3 linked regions of the Schizosaccharomyces pombe genome follow. Changing the gene in region 3 together with the main gene of any one other region gives a genetic interaction. Each region holds a gene or a part of one and is shown on either strand. Other genes may lie near its edges.

What was found. Genes that interact genetically often act in the same process or in processes that back each other up.
Region 1: mutations in acp2 (region 3) and rng2 impair growth when combined (synthetic growth defect), as found in Schizosaccharomyces pombe (2 studies listed by BioGRID, with this or other methods).
Region 2: mutations in acp2 (region 3) and fim1 are lethal when combined (synthetic lethality), as found in Schizosaccharomyces pombe (2 studies listed by BioGRID, with this or other methods).

Annotation. Positions count from the first base shown.
Region 1 is NC_003424.3:2,642,005-2,652,932, reverse strand, and holds rng2 (IQ motif containing GTPase activating protein), read right to left. Parts: upstream 7,506-10,928; 5' UTR 7,417-7,505; coding exon 2,947-7,416; 3' UTR 2,506-2,946; downstream 1-2,505. Other genes in the region: U5 snRNP complex subunit Spp42, read right to left, coding at 1-2,195; hcs1 (3-hydroxy-3-methylglutaryl-CoA synthase), read right to left, coding at 7,790-9,073, 9,250-9,309. UniProt on the Schizosaccharomyces pombe protein: Component of the contractile F-actin ring; required for its construction following assembly of F-actin at the division site.
Region 2 is NC_003423.3:3,103,737-3,112,293, forward strand, and holds fim1 (fimbrin), read right to left. Parts: upstream 5,073-8,557; 5' UTR 5,006-5,072; coding exon 4,772-5,005; intron 4,696-4,771; coding exon 3,207-4,695; intron 3,153-3,206; coding exon 3,031-3,152; 3' UTR 2,506-3,030; downstream 1-2,505. Other genes in the region: Spo4-Spo6 kinase complex regulatory subunit Spo6, read left to right, coding at 1-12, 64-196, 243-964, 1,011-1,115; guanyl-nucleotide exchange factor Lam2, read right to left, coding at 1,380-1,794, 1,916-1,983; SPOM_SPBC1778.07 (carnosine N-methyltransferase), read left to right, coding at 6,225-6,726, 6,844-7,463; arc3 (ARP2/3 actin-organizing complex subunit Arc21), read right to left, coding at 7,722-7,864, 7,961-8,236, 8,317-8,416, 8,463-8,468. UniProt on the Schizosaccharomyces pombe protein: Binds to actin, and functionally associates with actin structures involved in the development and maintenance of cell polarity. Plays a role in cytokinesis. Plays important roles in mating and in spore formation.
Region 3 is NC_003424.3:2,103,530-2,107,767, forward strand, and holds acp2 (F-actin-capping protein beta subunit acp2), read right to left. Parts: upstream 1,905-4,238; 5' UTR 1,721-1,904; coding exon 1,715-1,720; exon of another isoform or gene 1,518-1,714; coding exon 1,121-1,517; intron 1,072-1,120; coding exon 668-1,071; 3' UTR 501-667; downstream 1-500. Other genes in the region: protein Atg14, read left to right, coding at 1-425. UniProt on the Schizosaccharomyces pombe protein: F-actin-capping proteins bind in a Ca(2+)-independent manner to the fast growing ends of actin filaments (barbed end) thereby blocking the exchange of subunits at these ends.

The DNA of each region.
Region 1 (10,928 bases), 540 kb from region 3:
ATGGTTTTGCTTTTGCCTTGGCGAATTCCTTCAGGTATCATATCCAAAATATCATTCATCACTGCAGCCCTCAATTCTAGATCTTGATGAGAATCGACACGCTGCTTGGTTATTTGTTTTGCCACTCCTGTAGAATGACGGCCTTCAAATTGTCTAGCAAGCAAATTGCCCAGCCAGCGCTCTAGCAAAGGAACAATTCCGCGTAGAAAGAAAAGCCATACACGCCAACTGGGAGCCCAAAACCCACAACCTGGACCTTTGCCAACAGGACCAGTGTTGAAGCGATAATAAATAAGATGCTTGAAATCTTTGCAAGCACGAATCTGCCGCATCAATCGATATTTATAACGATACATTCCCGTAAGTTGACCAACATGATTAAATATGTAATGTAATCCATCAGCTAGCTGATATGCGTCAATGTTTCCCAAACGATACTGTACATGAGAATCGACAATTAATTTAGTAAGGCGAAGTATTTCGCGCATCAAGTGAAATGCATTACCAAACCTAGATTTCTTTCTTTCCTTCGTAGTTAATGTCTTTGTAGGTTTTAAATTACAGTTGTAATCCAAATGTAAATATGTCAACCCTTTTCTGTGAATAAGTAATTGCAGCATGTTGTACCCTTGGCGACAAACTTGGAGACCAGCTTCAACCCAATCGATAGAAGTACTTTGAAAAAATTTAGTATTTTTTAACTGTCTAAGTAAGCTGCGATTGGTGTGCGATTTGGGATGCGCCATGTGCAACTTATTCATAACATGGGATTTTAAAAGTTTTTGATATGACACACGAACTTTAACAGGCTGATTAGGAGGACAATGCTCTAAATACCAATGCTTTATCAGTGGAACATCTTGCGCACGCTTAGTCGCACCAGATCGCTTATTAAAAGGATGGGGTGCCCACAATAAAATCAGAGCACTGGCTGTGTGCTCAAATTCTATATCTTCGGAATGAAAGAAAGGATCGAAAGGGATTTCAAAATTAGGATCTTCTTCTATGGCAGAATCTTCGGGAGAGGTATCTAGTTCATGCAAAGTGAGTTGGCGGGAAGTGATGGGGTTTATTATGGGATCCCAAAAAAAAGCCGGAAGATCAGGATCCTCAGGAGGAACGAAAACATTAGACGGTTGGTGGTATTCACTTAGTGCAACGCTTCGAGCTCTAGAATTATAAAGGTAAGGAAACGCTATCCGGTATTCAGTTTTAATGGGATGTCGGATAATAAGTTTATAAATGTCATTAAATTCATTCCAATCTTCCATTTCTGGGGCTTCGTCTTTGTATAAAGGTTCAAATTTCGGACCTCCTGGGATAGCCACGTTCAAAGCTTTAGCCGTAAAGAAACTATTGTCATTAAACAAGTAAAAGTAATTATCATCGCGTAAATCACTCAAAAGTTGGTAACCTAAACGATGTAAATTAGCCATCTGAGGTAAATTAAGCTTCCAACGACGATAGGTTGGACCATTTACATGGGGAGTATCTTCCAAAGCCTTATTTTCGTAAAACCAATCCATAACAGGAGCGTCATCTTCTTCATCTAAGTCCATTCTAATAGCCTCTAACGGCTCTAAATCAAGCAATTGATCAATAGAAAATGGTGGCTCTTCATCGTCAAAAGGAGGAAACCGCAAACGCTTAAAATTTTTTCGATCACGCTTCTCGCGTCTCATCATCATCCACATCGTTCCCCATTGAGCAATAAAATGCGGTTCAATTACGCGAGGACTCTCGTTTACAAAAGTTATAGCACCGGTTACATGATATAAAACCTTGACCTCCCTGTATTCTTCCCAAGGCATTGGCATGTTCTCAAGCAATTTTAGCACAGCATGTGGCAAGTACTTCAAAGCGCCCAAATAGGAACGTTTATCAGCACGAAACTTCCTAGAAGACATATCTCCCCTGTCTTTCATAATTTTGCGCAGGTGCTCAGGCGGAAGATCAGCTTTCTCTGTTTGAACATAACCCTGCTTCCTTTTGACACCAAACTTTGATTTTTGAGAAGCGCGCCATTTGCGTGCTCTTTCGTTAAGTTGCTTTTCAAGATTTCCAGACTGTGCTGGAGTCTTGTTTTTTCTTTTCTTCACATAACCTGGAGGTGGAGGAGGTGGAGGCTGTGAAGGAGGCTCAAATCCAGGCGGAGGAGGCGGTGGAGGAGGATTCCCCGGTGGTAACGACGCCATTTAGGTAATGGTATTTGTCAGCTGAATTGTGGTAGTGAATATTACTTTGTATGGTGGTGACCCTCGCCATTATTTGTGCGTAATATTCTTTTGTGCGTTTTATTTCATATTAGGTCTATGTAGTCTTCTGCTCATAATACGTGTTTAATGTATATTTTTTTACACGCTATACGGGATTTGAAAATTCAAATTTTCTTCGTTAAAATGCAACACGCTTAAGAAGTTTGTCAACCAAACACCTACCCATATCCAAAGGTTAATTTGAACATAATCATGCTCAATCGAATCGCCTTATAAGAATTAGTAAAGATGTATGTATTGACATAAATTACATTTTGTTATAAAAAAGTGTTATTTGTAATTATAAACCTTTAACTAATTCAGAAAGTATAAATTACCAAGTACAACTAGTATGCATAAACCAAAAATTCCTATTCCTTGATTTAGTGTTTCAGGTTCAACGGCTTTAGTTGAAAAAAAAAATTTGAAAAATAACACCGAGTTAAATAAGATTTGTACAGTATAAGTAAACACAAGTAGTGATAAAAAAACCCCCCACACTAAGTGAATGAAATGGGAAAACTGTGCAAATTATCAGAATTAAAGGGGAGAAAATATCACATAGTATACATATTTCGCCAAAAGAATATGGACAAGTATTAATGTGCAAAGATATTTGACGGTTTTAAGTTAATTCGAATTAAATCATTGGGTAGTTAAAGAGACGGAAAAATGAACAAAGTGAAACGTCTCATGAATAAAATTTGGAGAAAATCAAATGTAAGAACATATTGGTGTTTAATTTGAGACGGCCATCCAAAACATCCAAAGTTAAAACCTTGTTATATTGAGCAGACAACAAGTCGTCCAAATGCAATTCACACCTTGGGCTCGAAACTTTAACTGTCGGGCTTGTTGCTTCCAGAATAAATTTGCCAACTTCATCGGCTGATATAGTAATATACAATTTTTCTTTCTGCGGCATATGAGATATTGATACCAAAACTCCTCGGTCATAGAGTTTAAGAGCTGGGTACTTGAACGACCCAAAGCGAGGAACGCGTCCAGATTTTCGGAGATCTCGCATGTGAAAATACTGTTTAGAAAAAGGAATAAGCTTCTTCTTACCCTTCTTTGATTGTAATGTTTCCATAGCTTGTTCAATGTATTCGTTATAACTTTTTAGCTGCGAATCAAGGAAAGCTCTTTTTTCTCGTAAGTTAAGCAAACTTTGATGTCCCGCATCAAGTTCACGCTGTCGTTGCATCCTTCTTCTCGACTTATTACGGATATCTAGAGCGATAGAATTTACCATATCTTGGTAATTATTCCGTCGGTTTGCAAATCCAAGCTTTTCCATTTCCACTATATTGCTTAGTGCAGTGTATTTCAGTTCTGCAAATGACATTGAAAAGATAGAATCATCAAACAAATCATAATTCCTTGCATTCTTTTCAGATTCTTCTGCCAATAAATTTTGCCATGCTGCTTCGTCTGAATCTGTAACCGGTTTGACAAGTATTTCCAAAAGATTAAGGCCATTTTGAATTCGAATAATAAATAATATATATCTCTTTGTCTGAACAATAAGAGTCCGTTCCTGAGCAACGGGATTTTCTATAGTGCAAAATTTGGGATTCAATTCTAGTTTGACGTCAGTTTCATCTTGCACAAAGTCATTGTCTTGCTCTGAAACAGGACCTAAGCTATTGACAACAGCGCGTAATGGATCGTTCACATCAGGAGGAGCAATACTATCTATGACATATGCAATAGATGAATAAATGCCTAAAATATCGTCTCGCTTCATGTATATTACTGGCCGCTTGGTATTAACAAGGTCTTCAAAAGCATCGAACTCAAAGTACACCTCTGGATCAACCACATCGACAAGCCTTTCTAGCATCAACATGGTATCCTGCTTGGACACCTCAATAAACTCGGAGAGTGGTCTAAAAAAACCAAGTTGCTTAGAGTCACAGGACTCGATTGAAAAGATCTCAGACAAAATGCTTGACAATGTGTAAAGGTTTTTTCGTTGAAGAGCTGTAATAGAGCCATCAACCAACTTGAAGTTATCGGGTGACACAAGTACAGGAGCGACATAAGCCCAATAAACAAATTTCCCTATTACGCCAAAAATTTCTTCTTTATGCGCAGCGGGGAAATATCGTTGTAAGCTATTTTTCAATTGTGCTGCAGTATAGCATAAAGCATAAGGAATATTTTCAATATTCTTAGAAAGTGCTACTAGGAATGATTGACACAGTTTTCGAAGTTCACGAAGTCTGCTAACGTATAGATTTCTTGTCGGTGGGTGTTGCATTGCTAACGACAAAGTGAGTTTTGGACTATCAGTTTGACTGGCAACTTCAGGATTGAAACTTTTAAATAGAGTCAACGGATTGATTTCAAAATCCAAATGATTGTCGGCTACTAAAACCTTGTGAATGCGGCCGAGAATAGTTTTCCAAAGCTTCACTTCACGAACGTCCCCACGATATCCAGTGAACAGTAATTTCCAGACACAGTCATCAGAAAGTAGATCCTGAGATGAATTAACTAAAGCTGCTTCTAGCTTAATGACTTGGGAAATGAATCTCAAAAGTAGTACTTCTTCTCGTCGGTTAGAGCCATGGCCGAAAATTTGCAAAACTAAATAAACAGCATGACGGATCTTTACAGAGGAAGTGCCCTCAGTTTTTAGCGCTTGAAAATAATTTGCTAAGTACATTTCGTTGGTTTGTAACACATAGAAAAAACACTGATAAAGTTCCAAAAATTTTCTGCTTGAATTGTTGAGTGACTTCATAGACAGAGTATTAATTTTTAAATATTCAGTGCTTTGCTTTCCAAATTTATACTTGTTGTGATGTTTTAAAACATCATCCAAACTGATTTTGTTTTTAACCAACAAAGCAATCTTCACGTCTAGTTCATTGATGTGAACTTCAATTTCTTCATTGTCTCGTACTTGTTGCACAATTTCTTTTCTCATTTTTTCAAGCAATACTTCTTCCTCAAAGTCGAAATTGGTGTCGTCTAATAAATGAACAAAATTTTTGACCGTCATAACAGGTGGATTTTTGGCCGTAGCAAGTTCTCTATAAGCCAACCCTTCTTGACGACCCCTAAAAATGGACTTCGCAACTATGGGATTCTCCATATTCTTATGAAAATTTTGAAGTTTTCTTGAAAATTTGTTTCGAGATAGATACCCACGAATTAAAGATTGTAACAATACAATTTCAGGAATAAAAGAATCTAACTGAACTTCAGTATAATTCACATCATCTCGTAAAAGAATTGCACGGACTGCAGATTGCATAAACACGATATCTGGTAATCGCTTTAACAAATAGTCGTTACAATAATCAATTTTGGTTCGAGTAATGAATCCCCGATAAAGAGATTGGGCTTTAATGACAGATAGGTGCGATTTTTGAAAAGAATCATAAATGCTTTCCAAGTTTTTTCTTAAAAGAAAAGCCCGAACAATTGCCTGTAGAGCAATGAAAGAGGATGTTGATGCTTTTAATTTCTCCAATTTCTCTTTAAATGCCCGACGAATCATAAATCCTCGAGATAAATTTTGTAGTTTAATAAAATTATCCAGTTCTCCCAGAAGTGATCCATTTAATCTGTTTATAGAATCCCTTATCAAGCGTCCTTTGCAAATAGAGTGAAAAGAAACGGGAAACGATTGTACGGAATCTAGAAAGTTAGACCATTCATTCCGAAACATATTTGCACGCAGTATACTTTGCATCCGGTTAAAGAGAGGGATATAGTTGTAAAGGTTGTCAAGCATATTAACTATTGCATGACGGGTAAGAAATCCTAAAGCTGAGGATTGAATTAACACAAATGATGGTGTAAATAAGTCTAGCCTCTCTATTAACGAGTGGTATTTACGACGATAGAAACCCCCACGAATAATGCTTTGTAACGTTTGGATTGACTTCGTTGCCTCCTCCTGTAAAACCACTTTACGGTATTGTGCACGTATCAGATATGCACGAGAGATGGATTGAATAGAAGTAACCCAGTTTACAAGTTCATCGTATGCTTTCTTTCGTATTCTGTATGTATTTCTAGATATATATCCACGAATTACGGCTTGCAGAAGTACGACAGAAGAACTTTGTTCCACGAGGGATTGTAACATATCCACCAAACGCAAGCGCACAAGTACGCCACGACCACAAGCTTGAATCGCGTTCACGATTTTCTCATCGACAGGGCTACGCTGACTAAGTCCAGAAGTGGTAGAAAATAGTGCCTCCCGTCTTCTTGTGGGTGCTGAAAATGTTGTGAGGAAAGATCGTTGCATATGTCCCTTTTGAGAAGGGGGTTGAAAAAAAGAGTCTTCGAATTCGATTGAATGACTAGGCAAAGTTTGTTTATATGGTTCATTAAATTGTTCTAACGAAGGTGTCGCTGATTTCGTCCTTCTGTGCATCTTAAGGATGTCTGAACGAGCGCTAGCATCTTTCTTCGAAAATTCTAAAGTAGGAGAAGTATAAGGAGACGAATATATAGATGCAGAATCTGATGAATTTAGGGTTTGGAAACGAGCATGCTTGGGAAATCGTGTAGGGGAAGGAGTGCGAGAAGAAACAGGACTAGCACGAAGCATAAAATCGGCACTTAAAGCTTTGAAGTTAGGAAGGATTACATTAGATTGTCGGAGTCTACGGACTATTATTGAAACGTCTTCATCAGTAAAAGATAGATTTTCATCACTCTTGATTAAAGGGGGTGCCAAGTCCTGCATAGAAAGGAAATAAGAAAGGGCATGAATACAATAGATAACTTTGGGTAAATTTTTCCCTTCGTAAATGTCAGTCAGTTCGAAATGAAAAATTTCGGGAAGCCCAATGCCATGGATAAAGTCAAGAAACTTATTAATGTTATCTGAATGGCGAAACTGGAGTTCATTAGAATAGAATATCTTGATTAGTTTATCGGGTTGAAATTTCTGAACCAAGAGAGCCAAGACAACTCCGTTTCGCAGCGACTGCTCAAATGTAGACGTTGGTCCTAGATCTGTGCCGAGGCATTCTTCTATCCATTTTTTTGCTTCATCAACCCTACACAAATAATCATATGCTTGAAGGGTTTCTCTTTGTTTGGCTGCTAAACGAGTGTTCGACCCTTTCGTGCCAACAGGTGCCCCAGCTTGAGATTGAAGTCTAGATAATCCCACATTTACGTCCATTGAGACTTCTGATGACTACCTACTCAGCATTCGATCTCAAACTAGATAAAGTAACTGCACACAATTTTTCGGCTATGTTAGTGGAGAGTAGCTGTTACTCAGACAAAGAAAATGTGGGTTATCAAGATGAGTGGGGGGTTTTTAGGTGTAAGTAGTTTAATTCAAGATACTGTCCGTTAGTGACGAATTTACTCTAATTATTTAGGTTATGCTATTACAAATGAAGGTTATTCATTTTAAGACTACAATACGTATGAGTTTTAAATAATTAACAAAAAAGTTGTCAAAATCACATATTCATGTATCAAAAAAAAGTCTACTAAAAGAGATTTTAACAGTATCTAGTTTGCATTCTAATCTTTTTTTCGGTGATTTAAGGCTTCACCGAATAGCTACGGCGGAACATGTCATCAATACCAGTAAGGTAGTAAGTACCTGAACGAAGACGTTCGATGCTTCCTTTGGGAGTAAAATTCTTTTTCAAGTGTGCTTGATGGCGTAGCTCAATAGCCTCTTCATACTGCGTAGGGGTTAAACAATGACGATTATCCAAATCGTTAACCAAGTTAGTTTTCTTGGCAATTTCAGAGACGTCGCCTTTGACAACGAATGAAAAAAACGAGGCAGCCAAACCAGAACCATAAGAGTAAGCACCGACGCGTTTTCCTTTAAGTTCATCAGCGGGGACACGGCTAAGTAATGCAGTTAAACAAGAGAAAATACTGGCAGTGTACATATTACCACAGTTGGTAGGGGCATAGACACTAGGGGAAACTCGTTTGTTAAAACGCTCTTTAGTTATGGCCATAAGACCTTTTTCTAAAGCCTTGTCGGTAAGGGATTTCTTAGCATCCAGGGTGCTAAGAAGTTCACGGACACCTTCCAACTCGGGATTAGATGGTTCAGCAGCGCTATCGGTGTACAATAAACGCGCATATGCTTTTTGGACTTGTTTGCAAGTAGGAGCGTGGAAAATGCAATAATCAAAACGATCCAATCCAAGTCCTTGACTTTTTCCATTCTTAGCAACATCACGAACATTGTAATTAGCATATGCTCCATCAAGAGCTTTAACATAACATTCAAGAGAAAAATGGCCATCAACGTAAGGGTATTCACTCGTCAAATCGGGTTTGTAAAAATCGTAAGCATGTTGCATGTAAGTACCACGTAGACCAGGTTCAAAAACAATAGGGGCATTAGGACCAACCAAAAGGGCGACACAACCAGCACCACCGGTAGGACGAGCATTGCCCTTGGCATAGAGAGCAATATCACCAGCGACAACTATACCATCACGGCCATCCCAAGCAGAAGACTCAATCCAATCGATTGTGTTAAAAAGAGCGTTCACGCCACCATAACAGGCATTAACACAATCAATACCTTCGACATTGTGGTTATCCCCAAAAAGTTGCATTAAAACACTTTTGACAGACTTAGATTTATCGATGATAGTCTCAGTTCCAACTTCCAAACGACCAATCTTGCTTATATCAATTTGGTATCTCTTGATAAGTTGAGAAAGAGCGGTAAGACCAAAGGAATAAATGTCTTCACGATCGTCGACAAAAGCCATCTTAGTCAAGCCGAGGCCAATAGTATACTTTCCAGTAGAGACTCCATCATGCGCTTCGAGGGCAGCTTGTTCAACATACTATAGGGTAAAAACGATTAATATCAGGTTCTGAAGGAATTTAATGAGAAAGTATTTCTATTACTTTCCTCTGAAGCTTGCGTAAATTTGTACTATTGAAAAAAGATGTAGGTAATGCATGCAAATAATTTGGAGGAGAAGTTTTGAAATAAAGTAGCGACTCATTTATAACATACCTGATTGGGAGTGTACAACACGAGGCCCTTAATACCAATATCTTTTCTATCAAAGGACATTTTCTTGAGTTTCTACAAAGTGTGAGGGTTTTGAAAAAAGATTGCACTAACCTATTTGTGAGGCGACTAAGCGGAAAATTATCGAAGTATCTTGGTTATGGTTAAATGAAACAGATAGCTTTAGTTAGAGCGACAGTGTGTTAACGCGTTGCAACGTATCTTATTGTACGTGTGTTTAGGAATTTTTCTATTTGAGCTATTATAATATTTCAATTAAATTCTGAATCTACGATTAATAAATAAATTATTATTCATAGAAAAATTTATTTATTAGCTGGGAATAGCTTTGTATCATACGTTCACGTTTCTCGTATGATAAGATCGACCAATTCTTGAATATTAAAAGGAATAACATTGCTAACGTTATATTTTCGGCTAACATTTATCTTGCGTTTTATTCTTTTGCAAATAATATACAAATACAAACGGTGGACAAGTGAACAATTCGCTTCTCAATCGTACTTTGTTTCAAATAGAAATTCATAACTGTTTTCTAAAAATTAATTATTTGGCTATGCTGACTGCACTCGTGTATTACTTATACTTAAGAAATTAATAAACCCATAAATATCGCATTTACGAAATTACAAATAGAATTGTTTAAAATAAGTACAGATTAAAGAAGTGAAAAATTTAAGAAGTAATGGTTTTTTATGTTTTACTACTCCGTTTATAACAAGTCCACTTCATATAATAATTTTTCAATTTTACGTTTTTATCGGCTTTATTCCACTTGAAATATGCATACAAATTATCTATTTTAAGTCGGCAGTAGTTCGCTCGTATTTTAAATTAAATTTTATATGCGGCACTTAAATCCAATATTTTTTTGGACGAAACATAAAAAATAAATAAATATTGAACAGCATTAAAAAATAAGAATTGAATTATTGCTGCCTCCATCCATTCGAAATTCAAGTAGTAATTTATTAATTGATAGCAAGGTGCTTTTTACGGATACCAAACATAGTGATTTGTATTTAACGTTTGAATTAGTCTTTCAAAATGTCTGATTTTTTTCGAGTAATATTGTGTATTTCAATAAACCCACTATAAGCAGCAATAAGTCACAAAATTAAACTTATATTCTACAGAAAAGTCGTTACTTTTTTTCTTATTTATTTACAGAACCAAAAATAAATAATTAATTAATTTAATACAAAAATCGAGACTGTAAAACAAAAGAAGCATAAAAATAACGAGCTTACATTGTATTACCTTAGTTCGTTCCGCTATTACGAATCGGATGCTGCAGTAGCGCATGTATATATATATATGCCCTTCTACATTTTTTACATTCCTCAACTGCTAAAAGTCAAAACGATTCTGTTGCTGTGCTATTTTTCTCTATTAACAAAGCGTTTGGAATTGATATACTCAATCGATTCGTTCTATTGAAGTCACCATTGGGTTTATGTTCCTATACTTTGATTAACGATTCAGCTTGCTAATTCAAACCAGCTTCCAAAGCATTTAATTCTGCCGATTACGCATCTTTGCTAAGTGTTAAGCGCATATGCACATTTGGTTTGATCCATATTTCTATGTGTTTATGTTGATTGACGTCTGTTTAGCTTATTAAAAACTACTTCCTTCTCAATTAAAAAAAAAAAAAAAAA
Region 2 (8,557 bases), on a different chromosome or scaffold from region 3:
AATCTTGGAGCCGTAAGTAGTTCATGCAAGAACTTGCGCAGATCAAAACTAACACATATATAGAAAGTAGCAACATTATTTACTTTTGAAGTTACACATTTCATTACCACCAGGACTACCGACCCAGAAATGTGCCAGCCGAATGATGTACTTTACCTTTCGAAAACTGCCAATATGAAAATTTGGCTCCTGGACAGTAAGTCTTCTTAATATATCAGTGTAACCTTCGCTAACTTTCTTAGAACTATTGAACAGAATCCTCTTTACATTACTCAACTCTGATAGCCTGGTTAATACCTCAGCTTCGTGCTTGCAATCTCTCCTAGACGGTGAAAAAGTGTATGGTACATCAGACAAAGACTTTTACGTGCCAAGCAAAAACGTCGAGTACTTTCGTGAATACTTCCTCTGCATTAGAGATTTATCACAATACTATAAGCCAATTGCAGTACGAGAATGGGAGAAAACATTGGATTCTGGAGAGATCTTATGGCCAAGTCTTGCTATAACCGCACAAGGAAGATGTCCATTTAATACTGGTAGAAGAAGGGAGTTAAAAATCACAAAACATAACCATCCAGCTCACGAAATCAGAAAACAGCTCTTAAGTTGCACTAATCAAACTAACCAAAATAACGTTGTTAAAAATTCAGCGAGTGTGTTGGTGCGTCAAATCATGGGGGACTATAATATCACAGAATCAGCAGTTGATGGTGCAAAACAAATGCCGACAGAGTTTCCAAAGCCAGAAAACCTCTTACCGGTAGAGAAACGCGCCGCAATGTCTCCACTTAACCTTCTTGAACCTCGTTTAATAAACAAACAAAACACCTTGGCTAACCAAAGTCCTCGACAACCACCTAATGCCTTCGATGCAGATCCTCTAGCTCACAAGAAGGTGAAAATCGAAACAAAATCAGGATATTGTGAAAACTGCTGTGAGAGATACAAGGACTTGGAAAGGGTAAGTTAAACCAATCATAGCAAAAACAGCACTAACACATCGATAGCATTTGGGCGGAAAACATCATAGAAGATTTGCAGAGAAAGATGAAAATTTCCAGGGTTTAGATGATTTGTTTTTGCTAATCCGACGCCCAATTCGGACAAATTAACGTTAGTTCAAGTTTTAAGGATGTCTCAAAAATTCCAGAAAGCAAGTTCAAACATTCAAATAAACCGTAAAATCAATATATCCTTTGTCCAAATGAAAAATTCAAAATAATCTGCTAAAAGGGAAGAGAAAATTAACAATATAATGATGTGTTGTAGCATTCTTTTCTTAAACCAAGGTCAGGCTTAAGCCTATGATTGTAACAAACAATGCAAGTAAAGCTCCAAACATTATCGAGTTTAAATCAAAATAGATTTAAAATAAGTTAGACTGGTTTTCCAAGCGTGGAAAGCTCATTGGTGATACACTCTTTCAAAAGTTCAGATTTGATTTGCATCATTCCTTCCTTTGCGTTTTCTGTTCCAACAATCCCTAATAATAATGGGTCTTTGGAGTAAAGTTTATCTTCAGCCCCATCAATTGAAATGGCGGCTATTAATAATTTCCCCCTTTCAAACTCAATTATTGTTTCAAAAAGTACATCTCTTTGATGAGCAATCACGTCGTCTGTAGACTCCGCGACCAAAGGGCTAGGGTTGGTTGCAGTATAAAGTGAATACATGTTGCCTGCTAAAGCCGCAATAGATCTAACCCTTTTAGCTAAATCCAGACGTTTTAAACCATCTTTAGGATCTTCAAAAGAAACATAAGCTAGCAGCGAGCCAGTAGTGGTAAAAACCCTAGTTTGTTAATACCTCAGAATATTTCAACAATAAACTTATATATCTAAGCTCCAAAATAGTACAGGTGTACCCACTGGATTTGAAGTAAGAATGAACTTCAAATTCACTAAATGCTTACATGATAGACGGTACAGTTTCCTCAACTGCCTGTTTCATCAACGACGACAACTTCTTTGGCTTAATCATCTTCGAATTTAAACTTAGATAGCAGTAAAGGTAGCAATATGTATTTTAAAGTCCAATCGGCAATAACGATTTAACCTGTTTTGAATGGTGGTTATAAGTAGTTTGTAAGCTACGCAGTTTGGTATCTGATTTAAGGATACGTAGAACTGCGGTGAGTTTTCCTTGTGGTCTATTATATTACAATACACAGGTTGTATAAGTAGCAACTGAGTATAGGTATTGTATTAACTGGGTTATAATGTTACCTATCACTAATATAGCTCATAACTGAACTGAGGAACGAGGTTCAGTTGTAACGCTATTTATAATATTTCTAAATAGTTGTTATCAACGGGTATCTATGTATATAGAAGGATAGTTACCCGTGATTATCAATAAACGGATCTTAGCTAGTATTCCAACATATGACATATAGTGATACGCAACGTAGTGTAGCATAGCGTAGTGTAGTATTGCTGACATAGTTGGACAATATACGGTGGACGTAATGTGTATTATGTTAAGTAATCTGATAATAAATAATATTGTTATAAGATTCCGAATATTTTATTAAAGTAAAAAATGTTAATCGACATATATACATTTTTATTTCTTTTTATTGTGTTTGAAAATTAGGGCTTGGTAGACCAACGTTCTCCCAACGAATGCTTTATTTAGAAAGCTGATTTGCATATGCAGTCCGTACTATTTGGGCCTACAGAGACTTACCATTAGTTACATATACAAATGATCTTCCCTTCATTATGAAATTAAAAAGCTAACTATTTTCTACAGTTTGAGAAAAAATGACTACGTTTCGTCGTGCAGCTTCAGAATTCCTCAAACATTAATTAGGATAAGGATTACCCAATACTAAAGGGACAAAAACGGGTTAAGATGTATCATAAAACAACACAAAGTTATCTATAATATGACATACCACTAATAACATAGCGAGTCAAAAGCGACGTACTCACTTCCGAAGTTGTTCGCAATATAAGTAATTAAATTGGGAAAAACACATGTGTTAAATCGTTTCGTTAAAAGCTATAGTTAAGTCGAAACAAATTATACGGCCATTAAACTGCCAATAAAATGAAGGACCAACCGAGGACGAACGGCCACAATATCTTCTGGCAAAATAAAGATTACGGCACCCAACTTTCTGGCGATAGAAATAGCAAGACGAGCTAAACGATGTGTTAGTAATGAAAATTAAAAATATATCAAATATATATACATACCATTTTGAATAGCAAGTTCTTCAGTAGAACCATCGGTAACAAGATTGTAATCAACATATTCGCTCTTAATTCCATGAAGTACGTCTAAGACGAACACACCAGTGGAAATAGAAGGATCACGGAATGAACGAATTTGAGAACCTTTACCACCTTTAGCAGCCATAGAATTGGCCCACGCAACCATGTCACTATCTGAAAGAGTTTTACCTCCACGGCTAAGACTATGTAGAGTTTTGGTAATGTTCATACGCATCATTTGCCAAACCAATGCTAAGGTGAGTGTACGAGAACCGTCAGTAATATCAGCACCTTGTATTCCTACCAAAGAAAAACCTTGATTTTTTCCAAGGTCCACTGCATAATTACAGTTTTCAACAGCTTTGAAACGCATCATTTCATCTCCAGATGCAGGTGCCTTGTTCACCTTTTTCCAGTTAACGGTATTAGGTGTGATTTTATCGTAAGCTTGCAACAAAATCAAGCCATCTCGTAAATTATTGAAGAAGTCATGAATGGATGGAGTAACATCAAGAGAGTTCAACCACAAGGTAAAAACACGTGCCTCACGCTCACCTTCTGCATCAAATGGTTCAATCTCCGGCTTTTCCTCTTCATTTAAAGGCTCCAAACCTGGATGAGTATTAAAGAGATGAGCAACAAAGGCAAGGTTAAGCTTAGGGTTCCCTGCAACCATAGCGGTAGGTGTAAGATATTTGCGGCAATCCAATTTTTCAGCATTCTGTAAAACCTGTTCAGCACGCTGCAAAACATCTGTAGTTTGAAGAGGAGCACGTGAACAGAGTTCGGGAGCTAATTGGTTGAGCAGCACAGTATAATTCTCGCCATCTGAAACATCTTTTGAGAAGTTAGAGACAGTACGCGGCCAATTGGCAGCCTTTAAGTGATAATTGAACCAGCGGAGAAGAATTTTCTCAGGAGGGAGACGGAGAAATTGGTCAAGGGTTTCATCCTCTTCGAGAAGGCGGTAAAGCTCGGGATGTAAAGTAATATCAATCTTTCCAAGGAGACCGCGGCGAATGATTTGCCAAACAAGACCAAGAATCAAATGTTCACGACCTTCTAAAATATCGCCGGCACCAATGTTGGTAATGGAGATACCACCCATAGCTTTTGCGGAGTTAATAACAACATTGTTATTTTCAATACATTTGAAATTATCAAGAGGCTTGTTATTTCTCTGTTTATTGAGTACACGCTCATCAATGGTGTCGGGAACGCTGTCATTAATTAACTTTGAGAGGATTAAACCATCTTTGCATTGATCGAAAAACTCAAAGGTTTCAGTGTTGATGGGGACTCGGGAACCAACATCAGGGTCTCCAGCTAAGACGGAATTAATATGCTTGATAAATTCTCTTCGCTCTTCCTCATTAATGGTATGAGAAACACTTGAGGAAGATCCTTTGATAGTAATCCGACCCTTTTTTACTTCAGTACCTTCTACACCTTTTTTTAAAACATTGAAAATCTATATGCATTAGTAATCCAATTGATGAAGCGATATAGAGACACATATCGTGAAAATTACGGAAAACATTACTTACTCCTACAAAGTCTTCGGGTTCAACACGTCCAGACGAATCAACGTTAACTTCACGAATTGCTTCACGGACCTCATCGTAAGAACCCTTCTTTGAATCTTCAAAGGCTTTAATAGTGGTAGGTTGATCTAAATATCCCTTTCCATCCACATCAAGTTTGTTAAATTGGTCGGTTAAGGTTAGAATTTCCTCATTAGTGAGCTCCGGATACTTCTTTTGAAGTTTAAGAGCTAACATTTCTTTAAAAGTAAAATTTGACCAAAAAATGTATAGTAAACGAAACCACACGATGTGTGCTTTGGGTGGCTTGCAGTTGCTACGTGACAAGGATTAACGTCGTGTTGTTGATGCACATACATCATACTTACAGAAGCGTAGAGCAAAACTTTGATCCGCTCGCTAAATGAGTTAATACACGTTTGCTTAGCCAATCTGTTAAAAGTTAATTTGCAATTGTAAAAAGTAATTTACTACTTGACGATGTCTTGCGTTGTAGCTTTAGATTGAATATATAGCTGGGATATCAACTACATTGAATTTTAATTTTTTTTACAGAATAAAAAGCTAAACGTAAGTCCATATCAAATTAGCGATATTACCGAATTCAAATGCCATAAACATCACAAACTAGCAAGCTCTTTCAATTGAAGTCAACTGATGCATCGACTTGAAAATTACTTAGTACTATATGTCAAGAAGCCAAAATTTCTACTTACTATGATAGTAGATCCTTTGTAAAACGTTGCAGAAAGTTTTTCCGGCCGTGAAAATTCGTGTTTTTTTTCTTTTGTTCAAGGGTTTAGGTCACTGAAGCCAACAATTTTTGATACAATATAAGAAAAAGAAGTAATTCCCGCTTTTAACTGCGCAATAGGATAAAAGATTAGCCAGATGTCACAGGGTTAAACTTTTAACCTGACTACCTTTTCACGTGTATTTCCAGTCTCGTTTATAAGCTGCAATATAAATATTGTATGATATTACTGCGTGCACCAAGATTCTCTTATATTATTTTCTTATAATCTACAAAACTCACAATACTACTATAACGATGCTTCAGAAGATTAGCTGTTCCGGTATTGTTGAAGCATGGTGAATTTCCTTTGCGGCTGCTGTTGTAAAATATTGTCTGACAACTATCCAAATAAAACCTATGGGATTTTTGCAAAAGGCAAACACTATTTTCATAGAGGCACCGCGTTGCAGGGATTTTCAGCAGAGATGATTCAATATTGCAATCAAACACAGTAGATATAAACATAACTTGAAAAGCTAATGAAATACATAAAACATAATTATATTAACCATAATATTCTTAACTTATTGGTTTCTTCAACACTTCCAACTTCAATGAAGCAACAAGTTAGAGGTTTAACTTCTCCACAACGCCAAAATTGCGACTTAGATGATAAAAATATTAAAGTCTAGATAGAGCTCAGAAACATCAAAAAAAACTATGGAATATGATGAGGAAGAAGTAAAAGTTTTGAAAGAAGTTTTAAGCGCGTTCTTTTTGTACAGGCAATATGCTCATACAATAACACAACAGAAGAGAAAATCGATGAGCAGGTTGTCTTTTGAACACAAGGACTTACTCTTACAGGACTCTGACAACAATTTTTTAAAGCATCTTTCAAGGATTGATCAATGTATCGAGCAGAACAGCGTGCTTGCTGAAGCAATCGCTAACGCAGCCATTCCTGTGTTCTGCAGTGATTTCGATCAAAATGAGTTATTTCATGTCAATGTTGATATGATGCAAAAAGTTTCAAGCACTCTCAAGCAAATTGCGAGAGATTGGTCGACCGAATGTGTTGAGGAACGCCGTACTACATATGCTCCTTTCATCGAGGAACTAAATTCACTTTTCCCATCTGATTCTATAGACAGATCTAAAATTCGTGTACTTGTTCCAGGTTCCGGCTTAGGAAGATTGGCCTTTGATATAGCTGTGGAAGGTAGGTACACTTGATACTATCAATCAAAAATAGCATGATTTATTATTTATCTGATTACATGTTTTCTAACTTCTTTCTAAATTTGGATTTTTGGACATAGCTTCTAACATTTAATAGGCTTTGCATGCCAAGGAAATGAGTTCTCATATTTTATGCTTTTAACGTCGCATTTCATACTGAATTGCGTAAAGCAGGAAAATCAGTTTCTTGTGTATCCTTATATTCATTCATTTTCGAACCATGTCATGCGTGATGACCAGGTGCGTTCATTAAATATTCCTGATGCAGTTCCCTCTCAATATCTGCGGAATTCACAAAACTTTTCAATGGCAGCCGGGGATTTCCTGGAGGTATACGGCACCGAAGAAAGTCGTGATTCGTTTCAAGTAGTAGCTACCTGCTTCTTTATAGACACTACAAAAAACATACTGGACTATTTGGATACAATTAAAAACTGTTTGGTAGATGGAGGTTATTGGATAAATCTCGGGCCTTTATTGTATCATTTTGAGTCAGAAGGTACTTCTAATTCTAACAGTGATAGCCAGCAACAACCTTTCGTTGAATTGACTCTCGAGCAGCTGTTTTACGTGATGGATAGTATGGGATTTGAGGTTTTAAAGCACAATTCGGTCGACACGACTTATATGGGGGACAAACGAAGTATGCTTGAATGGATATACCATCCTCATTATTGGGTCTGCCGTTTGCAAAAATCAAAATTACGATTTCAATAAAAATTTTTGAACCAACATTGAATATTACGACTTTAATCATTCAAATATTCCTTTAGCATAATTAACAAAGCTAATTGATAACTTGTACATGAAAGTAAAGCGATTATTTTTGCATCTACTATCTACGTATAAAACTGCCTACATTAAATAAGCCATTCGTACGCTTCAAAAACTTTATAAGCCGCATTTGAAATAAAGGAAACGGAAAAACATAAAGGCTTTGAAATACAGTATGAGCCAAATTATTAATTAATAGACTCACAAAGCTTTGTTCATAAAACGTCTCTTGCTGAAGCAAGTCCACCACTTGCTGGGATGATCCTTTTCAGTTGCATATACATGGGACAAAAGACGATAAGCAAGTTCCTGACGAAATTGAGTAAGATATGTACGCATTATTTCTTTTTTTAATAGTTAGCAAATGAAAAAAAAAGCAAGAAAGCTATTAGCGGCACAAACATCTATATGTCTAATGCCACAGTTTGGGTGAATCTTACCAGCATCTTGAGGAGAAAGGGGAGGAGCATATAATGCATTCAAGGGAAAGCCAGCAGAGCCAGGAATAGAAAAATTCTCCAACGCTAAACTATTAAGTTGACGTTCAGCATCACGATAATTGAGTCCATTAACTCTTCCCAAGCACTCACTGATAAATAATGTTCCATAAATTAAAGTACGGTCTGCTGGTCCCTTAATCTCAAAATTGCGGAAGAAACAATTGGCGCGAAACAGCCCAATGCATTCATCAATAATATCCATTTGACTCTCATCAGCTGTATAAAAAATGTTAGAAAGTACTCTAATAACATTAAGAATAGTCTTTAAACAGAGTTGACAAATATCTGGAACATACCAGGATAAGCCGGTCCACGAAACTTGGTTTTCAACGGCAGCATTGCTATGTTTCCCGTGGTAGGGACGTCCGTAAGACTTAAGAAGGAGGAATGATAGGCCTTTCATAACATGTCAGCAACAAAAATTCAAAACTTTAGAACATACCGGCATATCTAATGTCTAGTGCTTATGATGTTGTTGGATAACTTGAGCACCTGCTGAATGTGCCGATAGGGAGCATTTCGTCAAGCATCAATAGT
Region 3 (4,238 bases):
TAAATCCTGATTGTGCTTTAACTTTATCCTTTATTTGTATATTTTTAGCTCAGTATACCAGTATTCCCTTACCATGCCCGCTTCAACTCCCTTCGCCTGATCAAAAACCCATGACTTCATTTTCATCGGAACAAATGTTGTATATAATGTATAACATAGTTTGGATTTCATGGAACTGTGGCATTTTTTCGTTTCCCCGTGGAATTACCCAATCCCAGCTTTTTGAGTTAATGCAGTATACTGGTTTCTGGTTAGTTCAGCTACGTACCAAGCCGCTAACTTCTCAAAAGCCAGATTGGCATTACAAGATGGGTATGGATTTTGACCTTTTTCACCGATTATACCTGGCGCGTCTTCCAATTCCAATAAATTACTCCTCTCTTCGATCACGTTCCTCGTCTAAACCATATCAGCTTATTTCATGACCTTTTTTACATGATCTTCGATTAACAGCTTTCTTATAAAGTCTCTTAACGTATATTTTTTAATGCTATTTATATAAACTTTTTTACTGAACAATTAAATTCAATAATTTCTTTTAAAACTGTTGTAAAAAAATTAGATTATCGGTGTATTTATTTATATTAGTCAATCTTTCTATGACTATTTTCGTTGAAGATGGAACGAATACTATGAGAAGATCACGGAAAGAAAACAAAAAGCAATCCTAAATGGAAAGATCGTTTAAAACTGAACGCAAAGCCGAATCATTTGGTTGGGCATCGGAAACGGGTTGAATGGAACGAGTCTGGTTGATGATATCTTTAGTTTTTCCAAAGTAGACATCCTGGAGGAAGTTGCGCATCCGAGTTTCCATTTCCTCAACCAATTTGCCAACATTAGCGATCTCAGTGTCATCATCTGCCGCTGGTAATCGTTGAGAAGTTTGGCGAGTCAAATGACCTGAAAGGTTAAGAGCTTTGGAAGGCAAGGCAGACTGTTCCTCCGAGCCAGATGAAAGGAAAAGGATAATAGTACTTGTAAGTCGGTAATCATAAACGTTGGTTTCCGTGGTAGGCAGACATTCAAACACGTGAATAGAATCCCATCCGCTTGAGTTAGAAGTAGAAGCTAAATGAAGTTAGAATTATATAATGAAATTGACAGAAAATAAAAATACCCTTTTTTATGAGAACGGCGCCTGCGTAACTATCGTCTTGGTCCCAAAGATAAACGCTACTAACACCGCCCTCGTAATAAAGATCAAGATAGACACGGATTGCTTCATTCAAAGAAACTTCTAATTTACGAACTCGATCAGTAGAAACTAAACCATCCTCCAAAGGAGGATCATATTTATTGCTCCATGGTGAGCGGTACGAATCTCCATCCCTGTTAAAGTCACATAACAAATATTGATTACCTGACTCAGAACAAGTATTTACTTTTAGAGGCTGATCAACAGACGAGAGAAGGACATCAGCTAAATCGGGAGCGACGGAAAGAATTGTGTCTAGGTTTTTAGAGATATCTTTTGGGTTTAATCGTCGGAGTAAATCTAATGCAGCGTCTTCAGACTAAAAGAATAAGTTAGCTGATATTGTAAAGAAGGATAACGACAAAGAATGTGAAAAGCAAATTCATAAAGTCTCTGAGCAATACTGACGAAAATCGATGAAATATGCATTCAATGATAAGATGAATTTACAGATGGCTATATAATAAAAATATAACAAAAAAATTGGGCAAGGTAATTAATTTCAGTAATACTTACATTCATGGTGAGTTGATGATATAATGCTTTAAACAAAAGAATACAACCGGATAGCGATCTCAGAATAAAAGTGAGGCCTTAATGATTATAGGAAGTAACTTTAGATTCGTCGCATAAATTACGAAGATTCTTCACGGTGCAGTACACAAATAGTAGAGGTGACTGACTGGTGGTGAGGTACTTGTACTCTGGTGCTTTCTGCGTAAGTTTAGAAAGTGAACAACATATGGCGGTGAACATTGAACGATGAACCCTCTGGTGATGACAACGTAGCAAAAACCAACCTCAAACTTACTTTATAATCAAACTGGTAATATCAATGAGCTGTTAAAAATAATCAAAAGAAGAGCACATTTTGTTCAAGCGGAAAAAGTCAAGAATTTATTAGATGCTACTGTTGGTCACTTCAATAAGCTGTCTATTTTTCAATATTGAACATTTTCAAGTTAAATTTAGTATTGGCAACGAATACAAAACTTTTCTGTATATCGGTTAAATTCCTTAATACAGAAACAAGGAGAATTATATGCCAAAGTCAATGCTTGAATCGCTTTCTATCTAAAGTTTGGATTTTCTACGAGTCAAACCATGTAAAGTCATAAAAAAGTCAATAACAAACGTCCTTCTTTCATTTTAAGCAATGGTCTTTCATTTTATTTAAACTATGGATCTTTTAAAATCTATTCTTATGTTTATAACCTTAACAAATGCATTGTTTAACTGCTTTTTGATCTTTATCTACATCTCACCTTCTGTTTTAGCATCCACTCAACCTTTAATAACGTTTTACTGTCGTTATGCAGTATGACAACTTACGAATTTAGTGTTCGTATATCTTCAAACTGCGTTCCTTAGAAATAAAGAACATTTAATTTGTTTTGTTAAACGGTTTTCAAATGGAATAGCGCGACTCAACGTTCTAAAAATTTGCGGAACATTAACTGTGATCAAAAATTTTGGGAGAGCCTAGATTTTGCCACTGTCACGTAATTATGTACAAGCGTTCAACTCCCATCTCTCACCGATTTCTGATTCGCAAAAATCACATGGGTTTTTTCATGGTGTGGTCCTTTTAACCAATCAGATTGTAGGACGGTTTCTCAAATGACCGAGAAATGATTCCATTCCGTTCCATAAGATTCTTTGTCCCGTTCGGAGTTCTTGAAATCCCGAGTTCGAATCTTGCATTCTAACTTTTTTCGTATGTTTGGCCATACTAAGACTACTAGCGCACGGCTGAAACCAATTGTGTAAACAAACATTTCTAACCTTGCTTAAACTGGATTGAACCTTTTTGTCAGTACATTGGAGGATTACATTGGATAATTGCACTTTTCCGTATTTCTATCTGTTTATTGTCTTGACAAAGGCTGTAATTACTGTTGTTGTAGCAGTGAGTGTGTGATTACAAACACTTAAAACAGAAAATGTGCTTTGTGGGTTTGAAACTTTTATCGAAATTTTGTAAGAAGTTAACCTGCAATTATTGTTGATCATTTATCTTTTAATTGTATTATTATTAAGTTGTTTACTTGCAGAACACATAGTTTGGCCGAATTTTTTGGTTTTGTTTGTTTACAATAACACCCCGCGATTTGCGTTGCGCCTGATAGCTTTAGCCAGTGGTGACGTAGGAGAAAGATAATTGGTCAGTCGCCCTCCATTGAAATTATCATCTAATCGTTCATCCGCCGCAATGTTGATTCACATCAAAACCCTAACCCTGAGGACAACGGTGACTTATACCAACATGTTTCCTCCTTCCCTCTGCAAACCACATTTTTCCTCGGTTCGACTCTTGAAATTGCTAGTCGCGCGGAAGAGTTCGATATCGTTATTAATCGTTAATTTGTTATAGGGCACTACTTTTTTGTCCCTTTGAAGCCAAGTCGCTATAAATCTTAAGTCATTTGTGCTATCTGTTATTGTTTGGCGCTATACAACGAAGTAAATATTGCATATTGCTTGTTTTAGTGTAATAGGCAGTTTATGCGCGCGTGTGTTGTGAAGGTTAGCCGGCATTAATTTTGTTCATTCTTGTTTTTGTGTACTATTAGCAATTTGATATTCAGTGTTGCTGTGTTGATTGCTGTAGCTTATACGTCAACGTGGCAATTTTGTTTTGTAAGTAGTTTTGTTTGTGTTTATGACAGGTGAAGTGGGTGAGGCAGTGAGGGCAGTCCAACTCTTAATTTGGATTTTTTGCTGGTGATTTAGGATTTTGATATGGTTTGTCGAAGTTTGTTAGAATTGTCGCTTTTTTATCCTAAAGGTTAAAAAATTGGAATTGGTAGTCTCTTCATTGAAAGGAACTGACTTTAAAATTTTTTTTTTGTTTTGCCAAAGATACGTTTCTTTTCTGTGTTGCGACGCGTCTACCACCATTATATTGTAGACTGTGGAAAGGTGGTGCTATTGTTCCTCTTTTGTTAATATCTCGTGTTCCGTTTGACAATGTTACCTACGCCTTTTTTTATCGTAGTTCCTTTTATTTATATAACTAATGATGGCTTATGTCAGTAGT